3 linked regions of the Arabidopsis thaliana genome follow. The protein of the gene in region 3 interacts with the protein of the main gene of each other region in a biochemical or structural test. Each region holds a gene or a part of one and is shown on either strand. Other genes may lie near its edges.

Region 1 (9,368 bases), on a different chromosome or scaffold from region 3:
ATTTGTACCACTTACTTTTTCCTACACCAAAACTAACAAAGTAAATAGTTTCTTATCAACGTTTGAATTTTAACTTACTTTGTTGTTGTTTAGTTTTACAATCGTAGTAGGCATTTAGGATTTGATTTGAATTACTTTGTTGTTGTTAGAAAATGTACAACTTTCGACGATGTGATTGAAAAAGACGTAGCATTTTCCTATCTGGTTACTTTCAATTGCTTGATTCACCAAAAAAAATATAAATAAATTATAGCCTTCATGGCTTCAATGCACTTATACAATCTTTTTATTTTACAGAATAGTCAATTTTCTTCTATATCAAATCAACTTTCAAAGCTAGAAAGAGACATATACGCTTAAAATTGCCATATCGTATAGACGAAATCGTTTGATACCAAATACTCCATATGTTCCTAAAAGTTTGATGCTCTAGCTTTTGTTTTTTGTTTCATAAAAATTGATTTTCTAGCATTTTTCTTTATTTTTATTGTCTTATAACACTAAGAAAAATGTTAAAATGATTAAACAATAATTGAGTTCTTAATAAGCGTCAAAATCCAAAACATCAAACTATTATGAATAGAGGGAGTACTAGTTTATCTTGATTTTGTCATTCGGATCAATAGTAGAAATGTTTGGACGGATTCAAAAATTTTCACTTAGATGATCATTTTATATCCGGGATAATAACCACTCACAAATAAGTGGTCAACATGTATAAATATGCCATAACCATTCTCGATAGTTGTCCAATTCCTAATGAAAATCCGAATCATGTAACTTATTTGATTCTCGATATTATATTATTTACGAATGTCGGGTCTAAGAAGCATTTCTATTATATTATTTACAGGTATCAAAAACAGATAACGGTTCTCTATAACCATATAACCAAGAAAAGATAAGCATAGATCACGGGGTTAAAATATCGATATTGATACTACGCGTCCGATAAAGAAGAGCCGGGGCAGATTTTGAGAGAGAGAGAGAGAGGAGAAAAAATCGGTGGTAGGTTTTAGTTTTATGAGAGAATTTTGTGGACAGCAAAGTAAGGACGAGTCATACGTGTGTTATGTACCACCTTTGGTCATTGTCCTCTTTTTCATGTCTCTTCGTTACTTCTCAGCCTCAAGTCTTTTATAACACTTGTGCTCCATGTTTGGACCCACACTGCTTCAAAGAATGGATTCGATTTCCATTTAATGCCATTTATTAATATTTCTCCAAACAACAAAATACGTGAACTACCTAACATATAAAATTTCACCAACTAAAGCGCAATCTTAACGTCCGTTACAAAAGTGGGCTTCTACACTTTTTGAAGAAACAAATTAACTTGTTATTCAAGAAATTGGTAAACAATAAACAAACAAAAATGTAGGAGAGAGGACATCGCTTAAGATATAATATCAGAAATTTTTTTGAAGGAGTTCATTACAAGTTCATTGGTGCTTCTGATGTGCAACTTTCCCATGAAAAAGAAGGCAGAGAATAAAGTGGAGATACAAAAGCAACTTAAAGGATGACTTAAAGGAGAGACTAGTCATTAACAAAGGAATGGATAAATTAATAAGTAGTTGGAAAAAAAGCTAACACCAAGTTGGTCCACAAAGACGATCCACCGTTATCAGATTTCCCACATAGATTTAACATCAAATTAGATTTGCATTTATGTTCCCCAATATTTCAATCAATTTTTACTTTGTCTGCTTTCCATAGCCATTCTTCATACATATACCACCTCATGATTCCTTCATCTTTCTCCGTCGTCTGGCACATCACGCACGTCTTGTACTCCATACAAGTCACAAATGAAAGTTAACAAGAGTTCACTTTCATCAATGTGCACGCCGGAAAGAATGTCAAATTTTTTTAGTTTATTATATCGAAAATGAAAGGGAACTTTTGTTTGATTACGCAATCAATTTTTTAGTTTTATGACATTTTTGGGCCAAATCTTACTTTCTTAACACAAAGCACAAGGGAAAAAGAGTTACAAATGTTACATTAGCTTATTATGACGTTTCCCAGTGACTTCTATTCAGCTTTTCGGCTTTTTATTTACTTGCGTATACAAGTACAAAGATCGTTACAGTAAAAAACAAAACAAAACAGATCAATGTTTTTGTTCAGAGATGTACGATTAGAGAGACTTTAACCGGGACAAACCATAGATAAAACCAAACCGGACTCTCTAACCAGGATGAGATTGGAAAGAATTGGAACTAGCACTTGAGCCACGGCCAGTGCTGAGTTTAAGAGCCTCCAAAGCCTTTTGAATCTCCATGTTCATTGCACTGTCAACACTTCCCGAAGACAGTTTCCTGTGAGATTTCTGGAGATGAAGCTTCAAAGAACTGCTGCTTAGACCTGCGTTCTTTCCACAAACCGGACACACTTTCATTGTCGGTTTCCTCTGTCTCCACTCCATTGATACTTTCCCGTGACATTTCTTGTCGAGGTTTATTAAGATCCGCGCAAATCCATCATTCGGTTGAGCTCGTCTATGAACTTTCCTCAGTTTGCTCCATGCTTCTAAAAGTGTGAGCTTCCTATTTATTGTTCCCACCAGTAAACAAATGAGAACAAGTATTGAAAATTTCCAACAAATTTTATTTGTCCCCAACAACTTACTTTTGGAGCATTAGGTAAGCAAGCACTACTGTTGCGCTTCTACTCCGACCTTCGAAGCAATGAACTAAAATCTTGCCACCAGTTTCTTCGCCATGCTTGATGAAATCGAGAGCTTCTTGAAAGATGCTCTCGATATTTGAGTCTTCATCATCGGTTATCTGGTCAAAGGGAAGACACAAGAAGAAAACGATCATCTTTATAGATGCATTTTTTTTTACCAATTCCTTTTAAGAGACATATAAGACAGGTTCACTTACTGAGAAGTTTTGGTACTCGAAGAGATCCGGGTATTGAGTATCCGATTGCCCGATTTCATTAGCGCACAAACATAGAACATGAGTTATACCTAAATGCTGAAGAGTGTAAATCGACCTTGCAGCCAATCCTCCCCCGATAAAAAGATTTTCTTGTATCATTGATGGTTTCTCTGTATTAGCAGCTTTGCTAATCAATGATATCCTCTCAAGAATATGCTCAAGTCTAACCTGTTATCAAGGAGAATGCAAACAAGAGAGACAATGTTTGAGTTCAGTTGCCAAAAACTATATTATATAATGAAGATCATATTCAGGATAAAAGGAAATAATAAAACTTCATGATACCTTTAGCTCATAAGCATCTGTGCAACTGTTATTATCACTGCCCTCAAAAAAACCAGTGTTGAAACCGTTCTCTTGGCAAAGTTTCATCACTTCATTCCGCAGTGTTTCATTCCACTGGTCTAGTTCTTTATTAGACTCAGCATCAACCTGGACGCACCATGAAAATATTGAGAGTGAAGAAAGAGAAAATGGCTGAGAACTTCCATCCAAGAAGACAAACTTTTTTTTTTATAAAAAATCTGAACCTACTTTACAAATTAGAACATAGTGATCAAAGCTCGAAGCGACAAACCTTTGCAAACTTATGGAAGTCACGGAGCTTTGCTGCCAAACGCTGACTGCTAAGAGATTCTCCACCTTTACCGGATCTTCCGTGCCAACTTTCACGTGACTTAGGCGAAGACCCGTCTTCTTTGTTTTCTGAATTTGGTGTCCTAGGAACTGATTTTTGCATATCTGACTCACTGTGATCAGAGCTGTTATCACTAGGCACCCGATCTTTTGAGGGAGATGGATAATGATTCACCTCATGCCCATGAGTATGTGAAGGTGACTCAGGAACAGCAAAGTCTTCTCTGTCAAAATCTGCACACATTGTTTTGTCCATCATACTAAAAAATGCCCGAAGCAACACATCTAATTTCTGATGAAGGGTGACAAGGAAGATGTGAAACTCTTGCAAATCCCTGAGACCAGCTCGGAAACCATTTCGAAACTCGCGTACAACTGGTGTTACTACAGATCGAACATTAGATGTTTCTTCACCATCTTCTGCCTGTGGATATCCTAAACTTCCTTCTGTTATTTCATGTAACAAATTCGAAGAATATTGGCTACTATTGAGGAGTAACTCAACTAATCTTGGATAAATTTCTTGGTCGCTTGCCCGTTTTCCAGCAGGAGGCCGCCGTGGAACACCCGAGTCTATGGCAACGAGGTGAAAATCGGCAGCTACTGATCTATCAGACATTGGACTCATTAAACCAGTATCATATGATCTAGGTGATTCCGTTATATCAGAAAAATCAGAAGCCTGTGAGACCAACATTTGATCACTGATACTCAACCTGGATCTGCTATCTACGGAAGAAGCTCTTCTTTCCCTTTGAATGGATCTATAGTCCTTTGGATGGTACCGTTTGATGGCGGAATCAAAAGCTTCATCAAATGAACATTCATGATGCTTTGCAGAAGACACAATTCTGTCTGTCAGTAACAGATTTGCCGGGTTGCCACGCCATCTCAGCTGACGACACGGTAATCTGTCTTCATTCCTAATTACTAGATCTAACACCAAGATTCTCCCTAGAGCTGCAGCAGCTCTCTCTGCTTTTTCTTCAGTTTCAAAACTACTCATGCTCTCCAGCATTGGACATCCATGAACATAACTGTAATCACATATAGAGAATCCTGGGCTAAGAAGAGGGGTTCTATACAAACATCACATTAAAAATTGTAAATTTGAAAGTGCCTACATGATCCTATTAGGTAAGACTAGATTTTACATAATCCTATTAGGTAAGACTAGATTTCTGTTCAGCTATTTCTCTCATATTTATTATCATTTAAAGCAAGATTAGATTTCTGTTTAACTGTTGTTATCAAATTTTATCCAATAAAATAATTCCACCTCATATTTGTAATTTAGATCTTTCTTATTTTATAATACAATTTTTATATCTAATAACATAACATCTTTTATTTTTCTTAAAATATATTATCAAATGGTATATTCATATTTCAAATGGTTTACTATCATCTAGTTAAACACTAATGCAAAGGAACAAAAAAACTGTCAACATTATGCTGCTGGTCCAAGTAAAAAATGGAGAAAAGTGATAAAGAATAAAGATGAATCTTGTGCTTTCACCTCATTAAGAGAAGACAACGGCTGAGCTCAAGGGCTTCCAGAAGTTCTGAACATGTCATTTCACCAACCTCGTCCCCCTCCGAAGTCGCTTTAGCTTGTGCTTTTTCAGTGGCTTCTTTGATCAGTGTCCACTCAGGATTACAGCTGTGAATTACTCTAGCCTGTCGCATGATGATTACTCATTACTTGAAAATTCTAGAAAGAAAGTGAAATGAGCAAAACCATTACTACATTTTTAAAAAACTACAAGAAAGAAAAGAAGCACCTGCGGAATCTGCACCCCTAGCCACTTGGAAAACTCATAACCTAGACGTTCTGATTGCGTGGCCATCCTCGATGATGCAAATTTAATAACTGCTGCTTCTTCCTTACGAGAGGCATCTTCAGAGCTGGAACTATTGAACAGGGCAAAGAAAACAACTCCTCCAGAATTCACAGTAACCTGTACAGACATCTAATAGTGTCAAAAGATCCTCCTAGCATCACCAGTCCAAGATCATAATGATATATATACCTCAAGTGGTTTACTCTGGTCTTCTTCAGAATGATCAGTGCTACTACTATGTTCAGTATGATGAAGTGAAGACAACATATTCCATGAAAAACAGCTCGAATCAATATCCACAGTAGAAGCTTTACCAAGCCTTTCCCACAAACTAATCTCTGAACTCTGCCTACTTGGTGGACTTTTAGGATCAGTATTCCTCTCTCCTGCACTGGATAATACTTGTATCAACTGACATGAAGACTAATATCCTAATTTAGAAACCTTTGTTCTGATATACTCATAAGATTCCAAAATCATAATCAACAAACCAAGTACTTGACAAAAAGTCAGAGAAAGTGTTAACCTAGTGACCATATCATCGATGCGGTGAAGGCGGTGAGGGAAGCCAGAGGATCCGTAAGTAGCACTTCGTTTACGAACTAAATCCAACCATTGAGTAAACCTATAAGCTGGACCAGATGCTATATCTCCTAACATGTACAAAACCTGCAAATTCCAAAAGTCTTCCAATTTTTAAGACGAGACTATTAATATAACCCTAAAACCTAAAACGAATTTAGGATCGGAGAAATTTACACGAGAAGTGACGGTGAGAGGAAGAGGAGACTCGTGCTCGTCGTGAACAAGGTATAGATCTTTCTCTTCGTCTTTTTCCTGCGATAGCACCATAATATCAGATCAGAGAAAAAGGGGAAAAAATCAAAATCAAAATCTGGCTCTGCGAAAAGAGGGAGAGATAAATGTGGGGGTAATGATGAACGCAAAAGGTGGGGGTGATAATGATAGATTATTAAATTTGTGGGGGAAAAATGAAGGATGATTACTTGAGAAAATGGTTGATCTCGCTTCTTCTCAGGTTCCGCCATTGCAAAAGCTTAGGTTCTGTTTAATTTTAGAAATGTCTTTTTCTTCAAATGTCAGCTTTGTATCTGAGAAGAGGAAAGTCTCAAGGTATCTTTAATTAATATGAACTTGTCGGACGAAGAAAGAAGACGGATATTTAATTTCATAAATTTATTATTGTAATAAAGACTCTGATCATTTTATTCTCATTATTCAAGATTTAAAAAAATAAACATATTATTATTTACAGAACTGTCTTCTAATTTTATTTTATTTCCGTTTTGTGTTATTATTTAAAACTATATTTTGTATGAAACTATTTCGGTCGAAATCAACAACATTTATACAAAAATGGTTTTAGATTTTAAAAAATATTCACTAAAGTTTATGGTTTAATCTGAAAAAGTTCAGTCTAATAAAATAAAATATTTATAGAATTTTTTTGTCAACTTATTTCTGAAAATTAATAAGCATAAATATTAGTAAAAAATCAAAAATATATACTTTCTTTGTTTTACAATATAAATTGTTTTGGACCAAATTTTTTGTTTTACAATATAAATTATTTTCAAAATTTTATGCAAATTATATATTATTTTAATACTTTATAATTATTTCTATTTTTAAAAAATAAATTGAATTTTTTAAAAATAAATATTTTTAATCTACATGTTTTTATCTAAACCAACTTGTATAGCGAAATCTCATATTGAATTAACAAAAATCCTGAACAATATGTACCAATCCACTTCGAGTTACCTTTTGTTGTGTATTAGTTTAGGCCCACACTAATATATTTGACTTTCTTCTCTGTCTTATATATTTAGCTAAAAGCAGACCTAGGGTTTTCGTATCCGTTCCAGTCACGGACGACTTCTCCGTTCTCTGAACTCTCCTAAAGCCTCTATATTCATCGGATTGTTCATCTCCAGTAAACCAATCTCCAGGTAAATTGAATCTGAATCTTCACCAAAATCCTTTGTAATCTCAGAATCATCGATTTTATCACCTTCTTATAGTATAGATCAATCCTTTTCGTAAATCACACGAATTCTCTCAATTACCGTGTCACAATTCCGATTGATTTTTGCAGTTTGGTGAATTTGTAAGAATGAGTAAACGAAAACGTCCGGATCCGAAATCATCGGGAGGTGATCTAAACGAGCCACACGAGAAGAAGCTTCTGGATCTGATTCGAATAAACCAAGGAAGAGGCGCAACTATGTTCGAATTGAAACGCGAGAAAACGATCCCAGCAACTATAGTTACTCGATTGATCGCTTCTCTACGGAAGAAGAATCTCATCAAAGAAGTAGCAAACATGAACAACAAAGGTGTCAAACATTATCTTGCAATGGAGTTTGAGCCTTGTAGTGAACTTACTGGTGGTGAATGGTACACTGATGGAGCTCTTGACCTGTCGAAAATCGAAGATTTGAAAGCCAAGTGTGTGATGATTTTGGAGAGGCATAGGCAGAGGGTTGTTACTTTGGAGGTTTTGTGTGGGTATTTTGTTAAAGAGGAGAAGCTGAGTGTTGATCAGACTAAGGAGATACTTAAGAACTTGATTTTGGATAATTTGATCATGGAGGTGAAGAGTAATGGAATGAATGAGTTTGCTTCTACGAGAATCGGAGAAGTTTGCTACAGGTTGACCGGGAAAAAGTTCGGTAATGGCGAACCGAGAGCTGGAGCTTTTGCTTCGATTCCTTGCGGGGTTTGTCCGCATATAGCGATCTGTTCACCTGATGGTGTTATCTCTCCCACTACATGTGTTTATTTTCAGAAATGGTTAGACTTTTAGCACTCTCTTTTTTTTTTTTTTTTTGGGTTTAAAACTTAAGATTTTAGATTATGATGATTTGTTTTTTCGGTTATACAATAGAGAATAATGCTATTGATATCTTTAAATTAAGAGTCAAGGTTGTGATTTGAAAGAGTAGATGTCGGAGAAGAAGATGGAAGAAGCTGATCTGTTTCTTTGCGACAAGCTTCCCATAATTGTTGCTCTACTCCTAGTTTCCTTAGCTCTAACAAACCTCGTTCCACTGTAAAGAGAACAAGTTAATGTGTTATTAAAACTAGAATTAGGACACAGGGGAAATCAATTGAAGAAGTTTATTACCGTCAACGGCATCTTGTGAAGTCGGAGATTTTCCTTCACTACGACTGGTCCAAAACTGGAAACGTTCATCTGCAATGTCTTCTTCCACACTATGCAACTTGGCTCTACCCCAGAAGTACATAAGCCATGCCTGCATTTATAACCAAATAACGTCGGTTCATCAAGATTCATCGCGATAAATTTAGTTACCAACCACAATATACCAATAATTACCATCTCTTGTAACAAAATGTCACATTATAACCTTATAGTTATGAAATTATAGGCATAAAGAAACTACCTGCTTAAAGGCAACATCTTCTTGTTCCCCTTCTTTTATCTCTGCATTTGAGAAATGTGATAACATAGTAAGGATTTCATCAAGTTTGACTGCTGATATGATATATTGTGCATGTTTGGACTCTCTTCTCTTACCGTATGATTCTACAAAACTGAGTTCTCCATGCCCTTTGGAATCTGTAAGATATGGAGAAAACAGACTATTGATCTCGATGACTAGTAAAAACAGACTATATTTGACACTGTACTAATTGATGATATAGCATACATACCTTGACGAACCAAACTCGGTGTTCTCTTCTGTGCGAATGCAAGCATAACAGCATCCTCAACCTAAATTTCGTTGTGATATGAGAACTTAATTATGTACTTGAAGATACCTTAAAGTAAAGAAACAATGGTATATTACCTTTAAGGATGCCAGCTCTCTCAAACCCATCTCAACTGAAAGCATACTTTCGATATTTCCTTCTCCAGGTAGATCACTTAAAAATCTAGCAGTTTTGC
Region 2 (8,525 bases), on a different chromosome or scaffold from region 3:
AGGTTATGTATGCAGATGATGTTTTCAGATGTCCAGTAGTTCTGACATAGCATGATTTTACGTTTTTGCAGACTCTTTGCAAGTCGTATCCATCAGAGTTCACATCGTACTTCCATTACTGTCGTTCATTGAGATTTGAGGACAAACCGGATTATTCATATCTGAGAAGACTTTTTAGGGATCTTTTCATTCGTGAAGGTTGAAACTTCTTGCTTTGTTTGTTCTCTATTCACTCTCTATTATTAGATTGTTTATGGTCTATGCAGTCTAGTGGGATTAAAAGAATCATCTCTAGCTTTCTTATACGCATTTAATGGAATGGACTATGCAGGTTATCAGCTTGATTATGTGTTTGATTGGACAATCTCGAAGTATCCTCAGATTGGCTCTAGTTCGAGACCAAGGGTTAGTTCTATTATTGATTTAACGTGTGGAGAACCAAGTCTCAGAACAATTGAATAATCCAAAATCTTATCCTGCTATGTGTCTATCATTTACAACAGCCAACTCCAAGACCAGCGTTGGACCCTCCAGGACCACCTGCAGAAAGAGCTGAAAAGCCTACAGGTACATTGATGTTCTCTGTCTCTTATATTGGAGGGACGAATACAAAGAGATATATCAAAAAGTTTATTTTAAGTTGTAAATTTATGAGACAGTGTTGACAATTTTGGGTGCTGAAAAACGTGCACTATCTCACTTGACCCTTCAGATATTAACATTCATATGTTGTTTCCCTTAGAAGATTTTGAATTTGTGTCCAGAGATTTAATTAAATTGTTGAATAGTGGAAGATCTCAAACTGAGAACTTCTTTCCCTATTCTGTTTAGTCGGACAGGACCTGCGAGGAAGATTTACAGGTGCAATTGAGGCATTCACCAGACGAAATGTTTCAAGCCAAGGCGCTCTTGGTGATCGCTCTAGACACAGATCTTCTGATGATATACCCTCTTCTGCCAAGGAAGTGGTTAGTTTGTGTTGTTATTTCTCTTGTTGTAATGATCCAAAGTAATTCTCAGAATAAGTAGGGAATCAGAACATGAGAAAGTTTGTGTGTTTTGATTTGCTGGCTTCATTTGCAGCACGAGTCTCGAAATGGAAGTACCTCAAAGAGAGGTGTGATATCAAGCACCAGACCTGGCTCATCAGCTGAACCAAGCGAGAACCACTCAAGCCGACTATTTTCAAGTGGTTCACGTCATGCCACAACCCAACGGGTTCCACAGAGCTATGAATCTGCAGCTGCAGCAAGGCCTGGGCATGAGGATGCCATTAGAAACTTCGAGCTCCTTACCATCGGCTCTGGAAAGAAGAGGAAATGAAGATAGGGAAGGAGAAGTTTGATGAGAGTGAAAAGACAACATTCGGTGCTGATGGCTCTCTCCTCTGAAAATAGGAAAGACATGTCCTCGAATTGTTTTTTAACCTTGGGAACAAGATGAGAAAGTGAGAGAGAGAAAGAGAGTTAATGTAATCTGCCTCTCCCAATCTCTCAGTCTCTGTTTTTAAAAGAATCTGTTAATAAAGCTTTAAAGTGTAACTTGTCTCATGTGTACTTCAATTTTCTCCTCTTTCTGTTCTCTAAAACTTCGATGTGGAAGTAAAATATGAAAACCTATCTCATCTAGTCATCTTCTCCAACCTTTTAAACTGTATATCGAAAACCAACGTGCCTAGTCAGTCATATTATGGTCGAATAAAAGAAAGTTTTAGACTTTGTTGACAAATCTTGTTGTACAACTTGAAAAACACTCCATGCTGATGGCTCTAGTCACTCACTTTGACTGCTGAAAGTGGTCGTACATAGCGTTTTTTTTCTCAACACCGAGAAATAGACAGGCTACATACATCTTTCAAAATAATTGAGTTAATTGGTTGTTGTTCTGTATTCAGCTAATGTAATAAAGATGAATCATCATATATTATCCATAAAAACATCAATAACAGTGGTCTTTTACTTTGGAGATAATGAGGTTGCAGAAGAATTGAGTTAATCTAGTGTGTAACTAAGAAAGTGACTGAGTACCTGTAGATAAAAGAAGACATTTGGTCAATGCATGCATGTGAGCATATTGAGAGATAGGGCTTAACTAATGAAGTTGCTTTTCTATAATAGGGCTTGGCTTTCCCTTGCAGTTGCAGGTAATCTTTGCTTCCGGGATATTGTTATTTTTAAGAGCCTTTGAAATTTTTGCCCTTGTTTTTGGTGTTCACGTTATGATGATGATCATAAAGATATTGGGGTTGGAATTGAATAGGGCTTTTGGAATTTGTCCATATGTTACAATGACAGAGAGAGGTAAGAAGTAGCTCTATGTGGCTGCAGCATTCTCTCTACTTATGTATATGTTATAAGTAGAACTAAGCATCCTTTGGGAAACACCAGTTATACGTTCTGATAAACACCACTCTGCTGAAACATCGTAGAACATATATATAGCTACAAAAGTGGTCGTACATAAGAGTTTTTTTTTTCTCAACACAGAGAAATAGACAAAGGCTGCTACATCTTTCAAAAGCTACCTTTGGACAGACAAAAGAAGAATAGAGAAAACAAGACATAGCGACTAATGTCTTCTGAGAGTGATGAATGGAGTGGAGCTGAGATGAGCTACGAGATTGGGTGATGAAAATTCATCAACTTGATGGTTCGGTGTCACTTTTGAGATGGGGGTAACTTCCATCATGTTTTCTATGGGATTAAGTGGAAGTGGGCTTGCAGGTTGAAGACTTTTATGTTGTGAGCTCTTTCCTGGTCTCAAAGTGGCGAGGTATGCGTGTCCGTTGCAGAGAGGTAGGCTCGTAGCTTGAACTGTTGATTCTTTCTCCTTTGCCACTTGAGCTCCACATGGTTCCTTCATACATTGAAATAACTGCATTTAGGATCAGAGCATAACAAACAGATAAAAATGAAAAGCTTTTTGTGCTTGTTGGTTCAAGTTTATTACCCCGAGCTTGAGAAAGGTAAAAGCCTGATTATCAGATCCAAGGTAGATCTCAATAAGCTTCCTCAAGTCAGCTAGTGTTGCATCCTTTGTAACTCTCAGTGTTGTTATGAGCTTTCGAGGGTTATCAGCAGCTGTTTCCCATTTAACATAGATATCTAGCTGACCGTTTTCCCTTTGATCGACTGAGATATTGTTTTCCTTTGCTTCTTCTACTGCTAGTGCTTCGGCCTTATTCGTAATAGAAAAGAACTGATTGTCTTTCTTATCAGGTGATGCAATATTGGCTTGATCCTCCTCCTGTCCACTGTGTTGAGACAGCTCTCTCTGATTGCCACAAAGGGTGAAAATGTTTTGAATTCTCAACCTTCTAGACGAGGCTGATTCCTTGTCATCTGCACCGTTGAAGCAGTTCTCTTTACCCAAACCTTCAGAGTTCAAACTAGGCATTGGTGTTGTTATCAAGCAGATGCTTTTATCCTCGACTATCACTTTTTCTTCCTCTTCTTCAACTTCTTCTTCTTCAAAGACAGTGCTCAAGCATACCCGGTCAGGATACATCTGTGTAAGCATATTCTCTGAAGGCTTCGGTTGCAAAAGGTTAGTGAAGTTGCTACTAATAGTGTTGCTTGATTGGTGTGAAACAGCTCCCCACACTTGCTTGACAGGTTCTGGATCACCCATGTCAAGGTCCATTGACTTCACCATACCAGGATCATCATCAGAGTAAAGACTCCTGAGTCTTTTGGCAAACCCACTAGTTTCATCAACACTTCCTCCATTTGAGCGGCGGAACTCAACCTCGATTTCCTCTAACCGTCTCCTCATCATCTCCAGTTCCTCTTGCTGCTGAACTATCCTTTCCTCCATTCTCCTTCTCTCCATCTCAACAAATTCCTCAGCCATTCTTCGGCATTCTTCAAGTTTCTTATCTAGTTCCGACTTCAAAAGCTGGGTTCTCTCGTTTACTTTCTCTTTTATCTCCTCTTCATTGGTAGCACAAGCTTCCCTCTGTGTTAAAAGAGATCTTAAAGCAGCAACTTCCTCTTCCTTCTTCTTCAGCTGCTTTTGTGCCTCATTCCTTTCTTTTTCTTTTTGCTTCTTCTCAGACTGGAGTTTGATAATGAACTCATCCATGGCAGCTATTCTTGATCCCAAAATCACAGCAGAAGCAGACTCATCACCCCCATACTTATCTTTGTTTGGAGTATGAGACCCACGAACTATGCACTTTGCTTTTGCCCCATACTCTAGAGTACAGAGAGTCTTGTGCATTTCCTTTGGATCCGGGCTCGCACACAGGATCATTAGAATCTTTGACTTGTCATCTTCAAAAGAGTCCTGCATTCAGAGAATAGAAACAACACTAAATATCTTCAAGAAAACCAAGCAACACGTAAAACATTTTCCAGAAGATAAAACAATGGAACAAGAATTTCACCTGGAGAAGCATGGTCAGCTTGCTGTCTCTAAAGGGTACATGAGAATCTCCATTTGCTATAGATTCCACAACTCGCTTCAGTGCAATATTTCCCTGGTTGATCTTAGCAGTCTGTTGAATAATGAGAGATATAAGTCAGTTGATATCCATAACTACAATAACTTTAGTAGAATCAAACAAATTGAGAGAGGAAACATTACTTGCATCTTAGCTTCAAATCCAGTCTGCCCAGCTTGGTCTATATTTTCAGAACCAGCCATGTCAACAAGCATCAATCTTCCCCCAACAGTTGGCACATCAAGTATGATCTACAAAAAGAAACAACCACACTAGTAAGTTAAAACAGAGATAAGCTGCATAAAGCTATGCATACACATCAATCAAGAAGATCGTTCTTACAATGCAGTGACTCCGAGAACTTCTTTCGTTACAAAGTGTACTCTTCACAATTCTCCGTTTCTCCACTTTGACAATTTCTTTAGAAATCTTCCCAGCCTCTGTCCCAGAAATAAAACTTGCGTTTTTCGCCTTTTTCCCCATTACTTCAAGCCTCACCTGTAACAAAACAACAAAGTACACACCTTTAAAGCCAATTCAATGTATACTAAAGTTATCAATCAAGAAACTTTACCTTAGTGCTTGCTCCTTTAGGCCAACCAATACCTAAATTGTTACTACTATTAGTCGAAAGAAGATCATAAATCTCCTCATTATAAACCTCAAGAACAGTAACTTGAACAAAAGTAACACCATCTTGATCAGAATCTCCCAATATATCTCTCAAAGAACGATACACAATCCCAGGCTCTTTCCCACAACCAAACATAGTATGACTCTTTCCAGCACCAGTAGGTCCATACATCATAATCGTGCATTTATTCCCAACTTTCACTCCTTTAATCCTCTCTTCTATAAACTTCTTGTAGAACTCTTCAAGACCTTCTTGCTCCGAGAAAGAAACACCGTCGAGTGTGAAGTCTCTGTACCCAACATCAGCTCTGACTCGTACCGTTTGATTATCTGTGTTGACTTGTAAGATCGAAGGTGATTTCTCTTTCCGGTCAGGGTAATCTCGGATCCGGCCGATTACTTCAACTGGATGCTCCGGTGGAGATGGATCTTTAGATCCGTCTGGGTTTGGGGTTTTTGAGTGGAAATTGAGACGTTGTTTTGTTTGTGGAGTTCTGATTAAGGTGTATTGAGTTTGATTTGATCTTGAAGAAGATGGTGTCGGTGCCATTGTTGAAGAAGTTTCGAAAGAGTGAAATTGAAATTGAGATTCAGAGAGCGTTAGAGAGAGAGAAAATGAAAAAGGGGATTAGGGTTTGTGAGTGATTCACGAGGTTTGAAGTTTGAAACAAAGAAACAAACATAACCGTTGTGTTGTATCTCTAAACGGCTAGTTTTTGTCCACGGGCCACTGATTATTAACAATTTTTATTTTCGGCAACTAGAATATATTTACTTTCTTTTAAAAAAGGGAAGTGAGATGGGCCTGACTTTTTGATTAAGTTAATGGGCTTTTTGTGTTTATAGAGGCCCAATGTTTGTAGTATTAGGGTTTTCTCAAATGTCTCTCTTATAAGCTCTGTTACTTTAGGTTTTTATTAAAGGTTTTGCGGCAGTGGAAGACGACGGCACGAGCTTCACCGAAGAGCGAAAATGGTGACTCTCTTCTCTTTCTTTATTTCTGCTAAATTTCTCCTTGGTTACTATTGAAGAACGAGATTATTGATTATAGATCTGCTGTGTGATTTTTCTTCTTCTTTAAGTTGTTTATTTCTGATTTTGCATCTTAAATCGAGAATTATTAGAGTCTAATTGTGATTTTTAGAATCTGTTATGTTGCATTCTGTGTTGTAAATTCGAAGATTCAGTTCACTTCGTCTCTGTGAAGAGTTTTAGCTCCAATCTACCAGAGATTCAAAATGATATAGTGTTATGTATCTTCATTTGTGTTGCTGCAATTCTGTTCTGATTTTTAGGAGAATTAAGAAGGATTTGTACTTCAGGGACTTGTAGGATTCACAAAATGGTTATCAATATTGACTAGTTGAGTAGTCAGATCGTATGGTAGCAATTAATTCTGAATGATTTAGGAGAAGCAGGAAATTTTATTAACAAGTTTTAGGGTTTGTTCTGAAGGGCGTATTTAGATTCACTTCTATGATCGTAATTAATTCTGTATGCTGTTGAAACTGTATCTTGTGGTAGTTTTAAACTTGGTTTTCTGTAGGTGAACATTCCGAAAACTAAGAACACTTACTGCAAGAACAAGGAGTGCAAGAAGCATACCTTGCACAAGGTGACGCAGTATAAGAAAGGTAAAGATAGCCTTGCTGCCCAAGGAAAGCGTCGTTATGATCGTAAACAATCTGGTTATGGAGGTCAGACCAAGCCCGTCTTCCACAAGAAGGTATACTCGCTTTTCCTTGTCTTGATCTCTAATTACTGTCTTCTATGTGAGAACCAATTTAGGATTTCAGAATTGACTCTGTGAAATATGTCTTATAGGAATGATTTGTTAATTGGACCTTGCTCATTATTTGTCTTTCTTTGGAACAGGCTAAGACAACTAAGAAGATTGTGCTGAGGCTTCAATGCCAAAGCTGCAAGCATTTCTCGCAACGCCCGATTAAGGTAATGTCTGCGACATTCTTTACCTTTGTTAATCACTCTTTAGTCTCAGTTCTGTTTCTTACACTTTGTGTGTGGTTTTTGCAGAGGTGCAAGCACTTTGAGATCGGTGGAGACAAGAAGGGAAAGGGAACATCTCTCTTTTAAGTTGTTGTTTCATCTATCTACTTTTTTTTGTTTTGTTTGGTACCTGTCCTGCTTCAATACTGTGATATACTTTGAATCTACCAGAAATGGTCCTGGTTTTTAATTTAAATAGGACTTGGTCTTATGGATGTCTTTTAATTTGGTTAACCAATCTTTCTTCATTAGGCTGCCCTTGAGTATTCTCTATAACTTGCGACAAAGTAGACATAACACTCTTTAAGTTCTAAAAACCACTTTCTATTTTCGGATCTCGAAAAATCATTTATCGTTTTGTGCTGCAAATCAGTGTTATATATGAGCTTGGCAAATTAAAATGACATATACGTATAGAAATGAATTGATAATACTAAATATTATTTGTTTTCTTCTTTTAACTTCAGCCATACTAACTTTCACTAAATTTCTTAAGAGCATACAGAAGTTTCTCCTCGGTATATTGGTGGTTCTATATTCCCCGCAACGTGAATGGAAAATGAAGGTTCTATTTTGGCTATATGATAATCATGCCATTAGCTGACCCGAAACTAATGTGTTACAATAAAACCAAATTATATAAATAGAAGAACATGTTTCCTGGCTCCTTATTGCACAAAAGAGAACATGAACAACTCTTTTTATATTACCATGATAGTCCTATGTGTTTTGGCCTTTGTGTTAGTTTTAATTGAGAGCTGTGCGGGCAAAATGGTAGATGAGATGATATTCTCTTGTGTCTGCTGTGGTGGTCCTGGCTGCTGTGGTGATAGAGGAGAAGGACCTGTTGGTGGTGGTATTGACAATGAACCGGTGAATGTAGTAGTGGTGGTGGTGGAGCCAGGCAGCCAGCGGCGGAAGATGTGGTGACGGTCAAGGATGCTACTTCAGTTTTTCTTTTTTTACTTTATTATACTTAGATTCTGGTACTATATATATTATGGGTATAGATAATTTACACTAAAGTTTTATTTCCGTTATTTAAAATTCGTGTTTTATTTAATCTCTAATTTTCTGTTTCCAAGTCGAATTCCTCTGTACTAATTATACGGCCTTTTAATTTTACAATATGAATAGCCATTTTCTACTAACACATTCTTACCTTTTAGAGGTGTTAATTTTAAGGTAAGTTTCTTCTCTACAATTACGTAATATCATTCAAATCTGTTCATGCTGACAAAAGTTAGGTACTTTTGTGTATATTTCTCGATCATTGACATTGTCTACTACGCTAATATCTAAGGAAAGTGGCATCGATTCTACTTGCTTGTAAAACATACATCGCGATGTAAGTCAAATTCTCTAATAATGTAAGAAACGAAGTGAGAAAGAAAGATAAATCCAAAAAATTTACTTGCAAATCAATAGAGATCCAAACCAA
Region 3 (7,126 bases):
TGCTTGCTATTTTCAAGGTTTGGCCACCATTACAACGCAGAATATATCTCAAGGACAATGCAATTTCCCTATTCAGATTGTGGCTTCCTCAGCCTCTTCTTTTTCTTGTTCGTCTTATTCTTTGGTTGTGTTGATCGTTTGGTTTCTGTTATCAGGGATGATGTTTTGAGGTTAGATTGAATTTGTTGAACTTAGTGAGGTTTTGTGAGCCTAATTGTTTTCTTACAGATATATATATTACAATGATTCTTTTGTCCATGTTCTTAGAAGTTGAATCCTAGATAAATCGGAATATCCAGATACTTGTTCTATCGATATTTTAATACAGTTTTACACTACAGTTTTATTTTACAAATTCATTAATGTTACAATTTCTTTTAGCAATTAAAAAATAAATAGAAAACCATCAAATTTTACAAATTCACAAAAAGGAAAACACGGTCGAACCGGTTCTATACAAAAAGAAAAAACCTTCCCTTTATTATTTGCTTCTTCTCTTAAGAAAAACAAAAGTTCGCTTACTCTCTCGTTAAAGCTCTCAGAGAGGTTAGGGTTTCATCATTATCAATTCCATGCTTTTGCAATAATAACTTGGAAAATTTTATCGAGTTTTCGTCTTCCTCTTCTTCTTCTTAGGTTATCTCGATCTGGTTGGTTCCTTTAACAATCTGTAACTATGGCGGCAGAACCGAAGGCAGCGACTGCTGAAGTAGTAAAGATGGATCTGTTTGAGGACGACGATGAGTTCGAGGAATTTGAAATTAACGAAGGTAAAATTTTTGTTGTTATTACTTGTTTCTTCTTCGATTTTTGAATCGATTCATCATCGGTTTTATAGTCTTAACGATGAAGCTACGATGCCATAGATATAAGAGCGATTTTCATTAGCAACTGATTGATAGATACAGGCAATGCTTTATATGGTTGAATTGAGAATTATTTGTATGAATTGTATCAGATTCTGATTTTAATAGATTTTGATTTGCAAGTTAGTTGATTCTTCAGATTTAACTAGTAGTTGTATTGAAAGGATTGATAAAGATGGACTAGTGTATGAGTTGAGTAGGTCTGATATGAAAACGAATCTGTTTGATGTCAATTTCAGGTGTGAGATAGGTTGATAGATCTTTTTTCATATAGTTCTAACAATGAAGCTATAGTCTCATACTTACTAAATGGATAAAAGAGCAGTTTTTTTCAGCAACTTATTGATGATTAGGTTTAGTCTTAATAGTCAACGCTTCATTTACTAAAGCCTAAAGGTTATTGAGGATTTGGGAATTATTTGAGGGCATTGAGTAGCCTAAAGGTTTAACAGATTTTGCTTTGTGATTTTACTAATAGTTTTATTGAAAGAATTGATAAAGAGGGTTTCTGTTTGTATGAGTTGTGTAGTTGGATGTGGAATGGATGTTTTTGCTGTCCTTTTACGGTCAAAGTAAATACTGATGGATCTTTTTATGTTGGGCAGATTGGTTGGAGAAAGAAGAAGTGAAGGAAGTTAGCCAGCAGTGGGAAGATGACTGGGATGATGATGATGTCAATGACGACTTCTCACGTCAGTTAAGGAAGGAGCTTGAGAATGGTACTGACAAGAAATAAGGTCGAAGATTGTGAAAGACAGGTCTTCACATTTAGGAAATCTTGGTTTTCTTTTATGATCTGGAACTTTGTTTGTACTGCATCCTTTGGTTTATGTTATCGGTTCTGCTTTTCCTTTGCACATTTTACTATTCCCTGGATGGAAATTTCTTATCTTTGAAGATGATAAATTTAAACTGGTAAGATCATCATCTTCTCTCAACATCCATTGCGGTGTGTTCCGTATGGACATGGATTAGTTACTAACTTACTATGTACATTTTCTTACAAGGATCTTTATTAGAGCGTAAACGGTATTTGAAATGCCAAAAATCCTTCAAACTATGTATTGAGATGCACTAGAAATGCAATCCTTTAGTAAACACAAATGAGAAATAAAAGGGGAGAGACCCGTAAACATCACAAAATAACTGTAGAGATCACATTCACAAAGACATAATTACTGTACTTCACAAGAAAGAAACAAGGGAACACACACTCTTGTGTCTTTCTAATACTCATCGCCTTCTTCGTCGTCGTCCTCCGCTCCTTCTCCACCAACTTCCTCATAATCTTTCTCGAGGGCAGCAAGATCCTCACGAGCCTCAGAGAACTCTCCTTCTTCCATACCCTCTCCTACATACCAATGGACAAAGGCTCTTTTGGAGTACATGAGATCAAACTTATGGTCTATACGTGAGAACACTTCAGCAACTGCAGTATTATTGCTGATCATGCAAACCGCTCGTTGAACCTTAGCCAGGTCACCACCTGGAACAACGGAAGGCGGCTGGTAGTTTATCCCGCACTTGAATCCAGTTGGGCACCTAATTTTAACATGACCAAAGATTTGAAATGTGTAGTAGAAGGAGACTTAAGAGAGAAAGAAACACTAGTAGTGTGAGCTCTTTACCAGTCAACAAACTGAATTGTTCGTTTGGCTTTGATGGCAGCAACGGCTGTATTGACATCCTTGGGCACAACGTCACCACGATACATCAAACAGCAAGCCATGTACTTGCCATGCCTAGGGTCACATTTAGCCATCATATTGGAGGGTTCAAAGACGGAAGTCGTGATCTCAGGGACCGAAAACTGCTCATGGTAGGCCTTTGCAGATGAAATCACAGGTGCATAAGAGGAGAGCATGAAGTGGATCCGAGGGTAAGGTACAAGGTTGGTCTGGAACTCGGTGATGTCCACATTGATGGCACCGTCAAATCTTAGAGAAGTTGTAAGCGAAGAGATGGTTTGGGAGATCAAGCGGTTCAAATTGGAGTATGTAGGCCTCTCAATGTCTAAAGATCTCCTGCAGATATCGTATATGGCTTCATTGTCCAAAAGAACAACAACATCTGTGTGTTCGAGAAGAGAATGAGTCGAGAGAACACTGTTATACGGCTCCACAACTGCTGTAGAAACCTGAGACCAAGAAAAGAGTTTGAACATTTTATCTTTCTGCAGTGAAGAGTTTAAGTATCTGTGGAAGGTTACCTGAGGAGAAGGGTAGATGGTGAAACCGAGTTTTGATTTTTTTCCAAAATCTACGGACAAGCGCTCCAACAGTAAAGAACCCAAACCAGAACCTGTTCCACCCCCAACAGCATTGAATACCAAAAATCCTTGTAACCCTGTGCAATTGTCTGCCAATTTCCTCAGCCTTTCAAGGCAGGTGTCAACAATTTCCCTTCCAACTGCATCAATGGAAAAATATTTCAATACCATATGAACCAGTCATGGTTAAATATGCCGTTTCTCGTCATAAGCAATGGATGAAACAGAGCCATTTTGAGCAAAGCAAATAAAGAAGACAGAGTTCTTTGTTACAATGGCAAGCAATCATTTGGACATTGATACCCTACTTGTTAGCTTATACATGAATAGTTATCTAGATATGAAGTACCCGGTATTACCACGAAAACACATGACACAATTTACAACAACCGAATAAAATTGCATTAAAGCTCACACAATTACGTTATTAAATTTTGTCTTAGCTTTGTTAGACTCTCTAGTACAAAACTCAAAACTCAGACATACATACTTAAGAATGTCCAATGTTTTGCTAGTTACCGTAAAACAAAACGAAAGAACATATGTTTTCAGTTTAAAATGGCAATGTTCGGTAACCCCTGAAGGTGGATCAATCTAGTAAGGCTAAGAAGAATACTATAAAAAAACAAGAGAGGTGGAAAATGTTAATAACCAGTGTAATGGCCTCTAGCAAAGTTATTGGCTGCATCTTCTTTGCCAGAGATAAGTTGCTCGGGATGGAAAAGCTGTCTGTAAGTGCCGGTTCTTACTTCGTCAATGACGGTTGGTTCGAGATCAAGAAACACAGCTCGAGGCACATGTTGGCCTGAGCTTGTCTCGCTAAAGAATGTGTTGAATGCATCATGACATGCACCAACAGTACTATCACTGCAAAACAAATCCAATTATTAAAAAACATGAACTTGTCAAAGTTTTTTTTATTACTACCCTAAATCATCAGAGCCATGTCAATAACAATAACAAGAACAAAAATTCGAACCCACAAACAATAAAGATGGTCATAAACTAGAGCGATGAGTATAAAGACCTGGGCATGGTGCCATCGGGTTGGATACCATGTTCGAGACAATAAAGCTCCCAACAAGAATTTCCGACCTGAATACCAGCTTGTCCGATATGAATGCTAATGATCTCCCTCATGTTCGAAAATTTCTCAGAGACTTCTTCTTCTTCTTCCTCTTTCTCTCTGTTTTCGCGAGGAAGAAGGTTGTTTTGTTGGCTCTCCCGCTTTTAGATGTGAAAGGACAAAAAGCTGGAATGGACTGGACGAACTTAAAAAGGGGCCGGCCCCGAAAAGTCTCTTCCGCTCGAAATGCCTAATTAAAGAATTCACCAATCCTGGGTCGATATTTTCTTTTTTGGATTTTAATCCATTCCATTTCTGTTTTCTTCTTTTTTCCCCCATAAAACTTTTAAAACATTTAGTTAAAAAAAAAACTTTTAAATTTTCCAATTGAAATCATCCTGTTAAATAAAGTATAATTTTTAAAATCAGTAACTCATAACATTGTATCACATGTAAAGTTTATTTATTCTTTCGTCCCCTTCCACATATCTCAAATCTTAAATATTTTTTTAAACATTTTCTATAAAAAAATTAACTTGTGTCAAAAAAAATGAAACATTTCTAAAATAAAATAAAAAATACTCATTTTCTCGTTCATTTATTTTCTCATCCCCTTCCACATATCTCAAATCTCAAATATTATTTTTTTGTTTAGTTTTAAGTTTTTTTTTTATTGTTGTCGTAGTATGAGTTTAAAAATATCATTGTAAAAGCTTAGTTCTAAATTTTAATTTTAGACTATGAAATTTACATTGTTTTTTTGGTTTTTTTTTTTGTTTTAAAATAAATCTGCACTGTCTATTTTTAATTACATCTTATATATAGTAATTCTCTCATCATCTTCCACTATATTCATGTATATATATATATATATATATCTTATATTGTTATATGGGTTGAAAATCAAAGAATTCATCATGGTAAGAATTTGGTTCTAAATTTATTTTGGAAAGTATGGCATATAGCTATCATTGTTTCTAATTTTTATTTTATTTCTAACACCATACAAGATTATATTTATTTTTTAATTTAGATACTTTTAATTTTAATTTACATATGTAAAAAGTTAAAGTTTTTTTATTTTATTTGCTAATCTTTTTATACTTTCAATTAAAGAGTTTTTAGAAAAAGAATCTATGTAACCACGATTATATGACCAATTATATACAAAATCTATTCTAATGCTATATTTTTAAGTTATGAAATATGCTTAGTTTTGCAAAAGATCTTTTTTAATTAATAAAAGGTTTTTTTTTATAAAGACTTTAATCTTAAAAATTTTAAATGGTAGCAGCAAATATAATAGCAAAACAGAAAAGAAAAAAAGAAGGGGGAGGGAGGGATGCGGCGACCACAGAATCGAAACGAGTGGAGACAGGCAGTAATAAACACTTTGGTCTTTTTTTTATCCACTTATTAAAGAAATGGGTAATGGTAGTCGTGTATAAAATTGAGAGAGAGGTGTGTATAGAAACGAGAGGCGAAGATTGCATCGAACGCCGAAATTGGGCCTACAGTAATCCCAAATTCTAATCCTTATCCTCTTCTCTCTCGTTTTTATTCTCCTTCTTCTTCAATCTCTTGGTCTCCTCGACTCCTCCCAGCGCTTCAATATCTCCCAAGACCCAACCATCGGAGGGAGGGGGCGAGATGATGGGATTGAGTTCCTTGGTCTTTACCGAGTTTCACAGCCTCGGCTTCTCTGACCTTATAGTTTTTGTTGCGCCACTCTGGATTGCTGTGGCTGCCGGTGTTTTGGTTGGTTGGGTTTGGAGGCCCAAGTGGGCTTATCTCGATTCTAAACTCTTGTCCAATTCACCTAAATTCCTCAATCTTCAGCTTCCCACTTCCATCCTCAAAACTTCTTCTCACCACGTTAACCCCAGGTAAGGTTGAGATGATTTCATTGATGTAACCCGTTTCCCCACTTGTCTCTCTTTCTTTCTTACTCTTCTGCTAAATAAATAACTCTGCTTCTCTTTGGGTCGCAGCCTTTCTTCCAAAGAGAAAACTGGGTTTGTAACGGACGATGATTTTAGGCATCTATGGAAGTTGGTTGAGGTCAAAGATGGCGGTCCTTGTTGGATTCAAATGATGGACCGATCAACCCCAACCTTCTCATATCAAGCTTGGAGGCGAGATCCTGAGGTACCCCCCTCCCTCCTTCCTTTAAGTTTAGTTTAACATGTTCCTCCAAGTTGAATCATTTTTTGTATGATGCCAGAATGGGCCTCCCCAGTACCGTAGCAGAACTGTGTTTGAGGATGCCACTCCCGAGATGGTCAGGGACTTCTTTTGGGATGATGAGTTCCGTTCCAAGTGGGATGATATGCTTTTGTATTCTTCTACTCTCGAGCGTTGCAAGGACACGGGCACTATGGTTGTGCAATGGGTGCGAAAGGTCGCTACTTGTTTCTCTTTTTTCTTCGTTCTGTTTGCTTCTTCTCCCTTCTCTTTACTCATATCTTCCGCTACTGTTGCAGTTCCCCTTCTTTTGTAGCGACAGGGAGTATATTATAGGCCGTCGTATATGGGATGCTGGCCGAGTCTTTTACTGCATTACTAAGGTATTCCATTCTTTCGCTGCTAGTAACCAAGCAAATATCCAACTTATTCTTCTAGTGCGAGCTATTAAACATGTGTTCTTCTTGTGAATATTGTCTTTTAAATTCACTCTTTTTATTCATGTGTTTATAGTAAGTATGCTCCTTTGTATTTGCATCAGGGAGTACAATACCCGTCTGTACCTAGACAAAACAAGCCAAGGCGAGTCGACTTGTACTATTCAAGCTGGTGTATCCGTGCAGGTACTACTAAGCAAGTTGTCTCTGTTATTTAAGTGTTGTTTAGTTTCTCAAATGGATATTACCATGGTGTAGTTGAATCAAAAAGAGGCGATGGTGAGATGACATCATGTGAGGTACT

The links.
Region 1: of the proteins of TUA1 (region 3) and PHS1, one has a biochemical effect on the other in vitro, tested with the Arabidopsis thaliana proteins (one study listed by BioGRID).
Region 2: the proteins of TUA1 (region 3) and AT4G14330 form a complex in vitro, tested with the Arabidopsis thaliana proteins (one study listed by BioGRID).

The regions. Positions count from the first base shown.
Region 1 is NC_003076.8:7,995,421-8,004,788, reverse strand, and holds PHS1 (dual specificity protein phosphatase family protein), read right to left. Parts: upstream 6,593-9,368; 5' UTR 6,481-6,592; coding exon 6,439-6,480; exon of another isoform or gene 6,284-6,438; coding exon of another isoform or gene 6,269-6,283; coding exon 6,191-6,268; intron 6,101-6,190; coding exon 5,958-6,100; intron 5,823-5,957; coding exon 5,621-5,822; intron 5,549-5,620; coding exon 5,372-5,548; intron 5,268-5,371; coding exon 5,107-5,267; intron 4,625-5,106; coding exon 3,529-4,624; intron 3,384-3,528; coding exon 3,237-3,383; intron 3,120-3,236; coding exon 2,892-3,119; intron 2,793-2,891; coding exon 2,635-2,792; intron 2,553-2,634; coding exon 2,195-2,552; 3' UTR 1,941-2,194; downstream 1-1,940. Other genes in the region: AT5G23710 (DNA binding / DNA-directed RNA polymerase), read left to right, coding at 7,569-8,261; AT5G23700 (coiled-coil protein), read right to left, coding at 8,369-8,505, 8,583-8,712, 8,863-9,038, 9,134-9,194, 9,271-9,368. UniProt on the Arabidopsis thaliana protein: Probable dual specificity phosphatase that binds and dephosphorylates MPK18, modulating the organization and dynamics of cortical microtubules.
Region 2 is NC_003075.7:8,241,330-8,249,854, reverse strand, and holds AT4G14330 (P-loop containing nucleoside triphosphate hydrolases superfamily protein), read right to left. Parts: upstream 5,803-8,525; 5' UTR 5,628-5,802; coding exon 5,019-5,627; intron 4,943-5,018; coding exon 4,787-4,942; intron 4,696-4,786; coding exon 4,588-4,695; intron 4,499-4,587; coding exon 4,388-4,498; intron 4,288-4,387; coding exon 2,950-4,287; intron 2,857-2,949; coding exon 2,569-2,856; 3' UTR 2,361-2,568; downstream 1-2,360. Other genes in the region: CKI1 (casein kinase I), read left to right, coding at 72-198, 332-405, 504-567, 832-968, 1,084-1,323; AT4G14320 (Zinc-binding ribosomal protein family protein), read left to right, coding at 6,050-6,052, 6,624-6,803, 6,953-7,027, 7,112-7,133, 7,830-8,014. UniProt on the Arabidopsis thaliana protein: Probable plus end-directed motor protein that may contribute to the transport of Golgi-derived vesicles in the phragmoplast.
Region 3 is NC_003070.9:24,047,263-24,054,388, reverse strand, and holds TUA1 (alpha-1 tubulin), read right to left. Parts: upstream 4,384-7,126; 5' UTR 4,276-4,383; coding exon 4,163-4,275; intron 4,003-4,162; coding exon 3,788-4,002; intron 3,276-3,787; coding exon 3,076-3,275; intron 3,004-3,075; coding exon 2,495-3,003; intron 2,410-2,494; exon of another isoform or gene 2,409-2,409; coding exon 2,093-2,408; 3' UTR 1,902-2,092; downstream 1-1,901. Other genes in the region: AT1G64760 (O-Glycosyl hydrolases family 17 protein), read left to right, coding at 1-169; DSS1(I) (deletion of SUV3 suppressor 1(I)), read left to right, coding at 677-770, 994-1,116, 1,472-1,602; CP5 (Polyketide cyclase/dehydrase and lipid transport superfamily protein), read left to right, coding at 5,852-6,087, 6,193-6,349, 6,426-6,602, 6,685-6,768, 6,927-7,008, 7,081-7,126. UniProt on the Arabidopsis thaliana protein: Tubulin is the major constituent of microtubules, a cylinder consisting of laterally associated linear protofilaments composed of alpha- and beta-tubulin heterodimers.